2 linked regions of the Cricetulus griseus genome follow. The protein of the gene in region 1 interacts with the protein of each later gene in a pairwise test. Links are inferred from orthologs where the notes say so. Each region holds a gene or a part of one and is shown on either strand. Other genes may lie near its edges.

What was found.
Region 2: the proteins of Srsf11 (region 1) and Srrm4 interact in binary tests that used the Homo sapiens proteins (3 or more experiments, as listed by UniProt). The link is inferred for Cricetulus griseus from reciprocal best matches to the Homo sapiens genes SRSF11 and SRRM4.

What each region holds. Positions count from the first base shown.
Region 1 is NW_023276806.1:1,639,334-1,643,155, reverse strand, and holds part of Srsf11 (serine/arginine-rich splicing factor 11), read right to left. Parts: intron 3,655-3,822; coding exon 3,527-3,654; intron 2,269-3,526; coding exon 2,187-2,268; intron 743-2,186; coding exon 611-742; intron 1-610. UniProt on the Homo sapiens protein: May function in pre-mRNA splicing.
Region 2 is NC_048597.1:96,498,790-96,502,411, forward strand, and holds part of Srrm4 (serine/arginine repetitive matrix protein 4), read right to left. Parts: intron 3,161-3,622; coding exon 2,957-3,160; intron 473-2,956; coding exon 362-472; intron 1-361. UniProt on the Homo sapiens protein: Splicing factor specifically required for neural cell differentiation.

The sequences.
Region 1 (3,822 bases):
ATGGGACAAAAGACTTTCTCTAATATGGCTTCATGTCTACTCTATAAATGATCCTTTGGGAATGTTTCCAATCACTGATGATGACATAAAGATAAATGAACACAGCTAGGTGTCTGCTTGGAGCTCCTTGGCACACGACAAGGGAGGTCTGGGAGTCTTGAACCCAGACCCACAGCAGTGGTTGAATGGAAAAGAGGAAAGCCAACGAGGTAGGTGACAGGGTAGCCAAAGGAATTTATTACTAAGAAATGTTATAGGGGCTATAGAAATGCCTTAGCAATTTAGAACACTTGCTGCTCATTCACAGAGCACTTCTCTAACTCTAGTTCAGGGGATCCGATACGTTCTTTGGGCCTGTGTGGGTACCAGGCATGCACATGGTGTACATATATACATGAGAGCAAAACACCCATACACATCAATTTTTAAAAATAAAAAGTTACACATTCAGCTTGACAGGAGACAAGGAAACAGACAGTAGCATCCTCAAGCCATAGTTTATTTTCCATTTAGCTACCACCTGATACCACACCTATGTTGTAATAAGAAGCATAGCACTGAGGTCTCAGGAACTGTGGCTGCTGCCTCTGTCTGTACTGTACACATATACCTGGCTTTGGACGTGCTCCTTGACCTTCTACCCCTCTCTCTGGAATGAGATCGTCTCCGTCTTGGACTTTTGGATCTCCTCCTACTTCTGGACTTGGAGTGTGACCGCCTCCTTGATCGGCTTCGTGACCGCCTAAAAATGTAAAAGTATTATGTGTGCATGCAGAATGCACAAAGCACCCACCTCGGAGGTATGAGCTCAGTACCAAGCACTGAAGAAAAACTGGCCTTCACTCAGCTGCGGTTGTCATGTAGCCCAAGTGAGGTCTAGGCCTCAGCAATGACTAGCGAGTGTGTTCATGCGCATGCACTCTCTGCTTGTGAATGACTGTGACAGCCGATGCTCATGCACTCCAAATTGATGCTAGAAGACTCCACAACAAAAACATCATTTTCCAAGAAGCAACAGATATAGGTATTCTAAACTGAGTATGTGAAGGATGTTTTCTTGAAGATGAACAAAGCATATTACCCCCTTAAGGAAAACAAATCCGTTGCCAATAATAAAATCTGGCTTCCCAGAGCGGGTAAAATGTGAAAACCTGATGCTGCTAGGTAAAAGTTTTGTGATGAAATCTGAGGCTGATATCAAATGCTATTTCATAGAATTGGGTAGCAACCAGAAATAATCAAATTCGGGCAATTTATCAAAGAATAGTGATTATAACTGCCTGAAAATATTAATGTTAACTCCCTTTTCTAAGCCATGAGCCTCAGTTTTAAAATAGGTGTGAACAAGGCTGATCGTGATCAAAATAAATTGTATGAAACTCCCAAAGAACAAAAATATCTTAAAAACACGTGAGCCAAACAAGCATGGTGATGTGGTCTTTAATTCCAGCACTTGGAAGAAGCAGGTGGACCTTTGAGTTTGAGGGTAGCCTGGTCTACGTGACGAGTTTCAGACCACCCAAGGCTAAGTACCGAGACCCTATGCAAAACAACAGCCCCTTCCTCTTCTGAGAAAACAACAAAAGTGAACAAGAATATAGTGTAAAAATTTGAATGTGAAACCCCATTATTTCTACTGGGCTAAAACTTTAGATTGGTGAAGTACAACAAACCCCCTTTCACCATCAGGTGTTTTGGGGGTAGTTAAGGTTTTCATTTTTTTGCAAAGCTCTGTAAATGAGATAGGCTGGCAACTATGACAGCCTCAATTTGTAATATTGTTAGATATAACCACATAAGCTAAAGTATATTGTCTTTATTTTTTACAGCATAAAAGCTAGAGTTCTAAGTTTGGAGGGATATCCACTGTGCTACAGAGAACAAACAGTACATATTCACAAAAGAGTAGGTATAACTAATGTGAGAGACGAGAACAGATTTAGCTTTAACTTTTGCTACACAGACAGCAATACTACTAACAACTTCATGTTGTATGTGTTTCATACAACTATGGCATTTTAGTGTTTAAGTTCCAAAGCTTTCCTACCATTGAAGAGTCTTTAACCGTTTTGCTAAGTAGGAAGCACCTGTTCATGTTATACCTTCCTCCTAATATACCCAAGGCAACTTTAACACTCCCAGCAATGATTAATGATTAGGCCCACTTTATATAGGAGACTGCTAACCTGTGTCTGGAGGATGAGGGGGTCCTCCTCCTCCTCGAGCGCGACCTTGATCTTGAATGTCTTCTCTTTTCTTCTTTCTTGTCTGGATTTAAAAGAAAAGGAACTTGTACTACTAAGCATTTATGTCAAAATTGGAATCCAAAGCCATGACTCCTTCACCTGCCACTGTACCTCAGTGACTTTAGGAAGCCAGCTTTTCTCTGATGCATTTCCATTCCTCTGCTACCATTTTTAATTGTAGTTTTAAAATGAAACTGTCTCACTTCCAACATTCCAAATTTCTTTCTTCAGGACCTAAGCAGCATGCCACTGCCCTTTTCACATGCTCACAATCACCAATGTGATGCCACCAATTAAGTTAGGTCATTTCATTCACAGGCTTTACTTTACATAACCACAGAATTCATTATATGCAAAGCACCGTCATTTCAGCCTCAGTTTTTAACAGAAGGAGTTAGAGTATAGAAACTCTAGAGAACTCAGAACTCAGATCTACATTTGAGACAACCTGACATCTTACCAGATGATAGACTTAAAGTACTTGTTACCAGCTTTTTTTTTTTAAACTAAAAATTACTTTCTAAATAATAAATAAGAACAATAGTTCCACTTACTAAGGATTAAGAGTAAAAACAAAATGAATCAAACACTTAATTGGGAAAATGTGCTTCATTACCACAGATTCACATACATATAACAAACATAACTGGGGCAATCATTTAATCAATCTCAAAAGAACAATCTATCTAGAGCTAGTTTAGTGGTGATGTACCTGTGTTAGTATTTATTCATCTGTATTGGCCTGCCTTTGGACTTCTGACAGGATATGCCCTCAGCTGCTGCCAGTAAGGCCACCACTTGTACCTATTCACTATGTTCCTTTTTAAAAAGGCCCTGCCCAGCTCCCACCACCCTTCCTCTCTGGCACTGCTCCTGTCCCAGGAAGCCAGTCTCCCCACTTCCCCTTTTACAATCCTTTTCCTTTAATAAAAACAAAACAAAACAAAACAAAACAAAACAAAAACCCTGATTGATTGAACTCTGTCATCTGATTTTCTCTCTCCAGCAGCTCTTCTTTTTTAAATTACAACAACTTGCTTAGCATCCACAAGCCTCCAGGTTTCTTCTCGGCAACTCCTACCACACACCCAAAAGAATATGATTGAAAACTATTAAATGATTTGTCTCTCAGAATACAGAAAGTCTTAAAACAACAACAACAACAACAACAACAACAAAATACCCAAGAATGTTATTCAACAACTTCTACATTTAAGCCATTACCAGGTTACCAAGAACCACAATTCAACATTCAAGGAAAATGTGTATGAGCATATTACCTGGCTCAATAGCGGCAGAAATCAGGGACTGGGCCTCACGCACTCTTTTCATGGCTTCCTCTATTTCTTTACTAGAGGTGTCTGATTTCAGACTTGGTGAAACAAGACCAGCAGCTACATGATTCAATCTAAACAAACAATTGAGAATAGAAATAGTTTAAAATTTACCTTTTAGAAAGCTGCATTTGGGGAGAAACTGAGGCAGTGACCAACAGTTCACAAAGTTGCACATGAAATCCTGACCACAAAGGTTAAGGATCTGCCTTTAAGTGTTTACACATGCAAGAAAAGCAAAG
Region 2 (3,622 bases), on another chromosome or scaffold:
GTGTGTGTGTGTGTAGGCACAAAGGTTGGTGGGTGAGGAGGACCATATCAGAGGCTCTGGGGTGGGCAAGAATTGGGGCTGTGAGTGCAGGGGCGAGAGGAAACAGTGTGCAGGGAGATGGAGCCTGTGGGTGTGAAAGGGCAGTAGGTCAAAGCGTGTATTGGGCCTTGTTGTCACTCTCGATTGGACAAAAAGGACTGCAAGAATTCCCGTCCCCACCTCTCCAACGCCAGGAATTGGGCAGGGTTTGGGAGACTGGTACAAAGAGGCAAGGCCAGAATTTAGGGTCTGAGTAAAGCAGTGTGGCCCAGGAGGCAGGATCCATCCTGGGGGTGGGGTGGCGGGTGGGAAGATACGATACCTGCTGGGGCTGTAGCGAGAATAGCTGGGACTGCGACGAGACCTAGAACTTCTGCTGGGCGGGCTCCTTTTGCCAGATTTGGAAGAATAGCTGGGAGAGCGAGAGTAGGACCTGGGGAAGAGGGAAGAGGCCCTGAAGACCTGCGTTAGGGTTGTGCAGACGGCTAAGCCTCTATGCACCTGGCCCCCAGGTGGCGCTCCTTTCCTTTTCGTAAAGGACCCTGGCCGGGAACCAGAGAATGAAATCCTCTCCTTTTTGATTAATATTAATTAATAATAATACGAACAACCCCCTGTTATTTACTGAATGCTTATTGTCCTGGCCACTTTTTCTTTGTGATGTCTTGGACACATGATTCCATTACTCTTGGCTTCTGTTTTCTGATCTGCAAAATGGGGTAGTAGTACCAACCTTACAAAGTTGGCTGTGAATCCAAATTAGAGCAAACCACTGATAATACTGGTATATATACTAAGTGCCAATTAGCCGCTACACTGGAGACATTAGCTATGACTATTATACGTTTTATTATGTGCCAGGCATTGAACTTTTTTGAAAGTGCATGTGTCTTACTTAATCTTCAACATATCCTAGGGTTGGAACTGTTACTAATTTCAAAGACACAGACAGACAATGGAATTTTATCAGTGTCACACAGCTAGTGGACACATGAATCCAAGAGTGTCTGGCTGCAAAGAACTTTTGACTTCTTCAGATTATGACAGTCCCATCCCCCCACCCATGATTTTGTCTTTATATGGCTTCGTGAATGGATTAAAAACATTAAGACGTGGAAAATTCTATAAACAAGTAATTCATAAGTTTAACATTTCAAACCATCCAGAGTAGCATGGGAAAAGTGCTGTTGTCCTGTTTTACCCTACCTAGGAAGTGGATTGTTTCTTTGTGCAGAGTTTCCATGCTGCATAGGCTACTTGCCTGTTACTAAGTAGCCTTCTTGTGATCACAGGATCATAGTAAATATGTGTAAGCAATCCTTATTTACTTAAAAATGGTCCACAAGAGAGTAGTGATTCTACTAACTCATACATGTCAGAAAGAAGCAGTGACATGCTTACACTAAGTGAGTGTATGCATTCTCCATTCAATAAGAAAGAAAGGAAAAAAAAAAAAAAAAAAAACCCAGAGGCAGAGTGTACTAAGATATGTGGCAAGAACAGAGATCTCCAGGAAACAGAAGGAGAGCAGAGCTCATGTTAATTTTGCTACAACACCTCACTCACATTGAAAATACTTGCATCATAGTGCATGATGCGTGCTCTAGTCACAAAGGGAGATGGACAGTGTTGTTATAGGGTTTGGTACGTATCCAAGGGTTTGGCTACAGGCATCCACTGGGGATCAAGAACCATACCTCCATTGGACAAGAGGGAGAGAGCACCTCTTGGGGATGCATCTCAATTACTAGCCCTGTTGTTCACACTTACTCTCCCTCTTTCACTACTGATGATCCATCCAGCTCTTGGAGAATATTATGGGGGAAGGAATAACTCATTCTTATTGAGTGCAGTTGTTCCCCCACCAAGTGTCCTGCCAGTTTGCTCTTTGCATTAGCACTGAGAAATCTTATAGAAAAAAAAAAACATAAGTAAGTGCTGGTTTTGAAATTACCAAGCAAGGAAGCAACTGAATTTTTATTATATGGTTGAGGAAGAGGAACAATCAACTTGCTGTTTGAATTTTTTGTTTAAAGAGGGAAGCTGGGCTCAAGGAGACCGTGAGGGTTGGGTTAGATGGGCTATTCCAGTTCCTGAGATCTCCTGTCTGTATGTTTTAAAAAAGGAGCTTTACCAGGTTACTATACAAGGTAACCAAACAATACCAATGGCTATTGAGATTGGGAGATAAAATACAAAAACAGTTGCACTTCTTCTCTCTATCTTGCATAACCCCTGAAATGTAACTCTGTAACTCCTCTCACTAAGGGAGAATTTTCTGGGTCTTATGACTTACTGTGGCTAATAAAATAGCAGGAGGGATGGAATGTTACTTAACGCTGAGAAGTAAGGAAGCCTTGTACCTTGTATATATATATCCCTCCCTCCTTTTCTTTCCTTGTCATTACCTTGTGTACAAGCAGATAGGCCTGCTAGCTGATGAGAGACAACACAGAGCAGAGACAACTAATCATTGGATGGCTTTCAATTCCCAGCCCCCAGCCTACTCACCATCTGGTCAAAAACACATGAGGGGGCTGAGGACAGAACCAGCCAGCTGAGCCCAGCATAAATTGTTAATCCACAGAGTTACAGAGACCAAGTAAATGCATTTTATGTGAATGATGATGTTGGTTACTTTTTATGCAGAAGAAGTTAATTGATACCTCATCCTCATGCCAACACAAGCAATAACAGTCAATGCTCCTTGTGTTCTAAGTGCTTGCACCCTAGGAATGAGCCACTGGGCCACTGAGCCACTGCATTCCTATTATTTTTATTTTTCACAGAAGAAAACAGGAGCTCAGAGATGTTGACTGTCTTTCCCAAGATTGTCAGTAGCAATGGCTGGAGCAGATATTCAATGTCAAGCCTGACTTGACATACAGCAGGTCAAACGTTGCAAAGACATACTCACCTTTTTTCAGAGGAGGTGGACCGGCTCCGGGTATACCTGGGGGAAGCTCTGTGGTTTGGGGACCGGGAAGAGGGACTGGAGGATCGAGTGCTGGTGTAGGAGGAGCTACGGGAGCACTCTTTGATGGGGGAGCTCCGGGCTGTGGATGGGACCAAACTAGACTTCTTCACCTCAGCACACTGTAGACATGGAGACTGAAATCCTCTGCAGGAGGGAGAACATCTGTCATTACCCAGCTGCCCTTGCTCTGGAGGTATCTTAACCTGATGCTTCCTCTACCACCTTTGACTAGGATAGAGTCAGTATCCTCAATTCCTTTTTTCACCTCCCCTCTTTCTGGGAAGAACTGCCAGGTGACAGAATTTAGAAGGGCAGAGATAGAAAAGATGAATGATATCTAATCAAGAATAGTATTTAATTCAATTCAGCATCCCCCAGGTAGGGGACACATACCACACTGGGGGCTACTTCAGAGTATTCCAGGAGGTCCTTGTGGGCACAAGGCTAAACAACATCAAATCATGTGATGATCAAATCATGTGGTGAGAGATTCCTTCCATCCCCTTTCTTGTCCTTGTTCAGTCCTTCTGATTGCATGGATGAGAAAGCCCTGGCTGGGTGCTAGTGGGTTTTTAACACCCCAAACACTATGTAATCTCCCCAAGA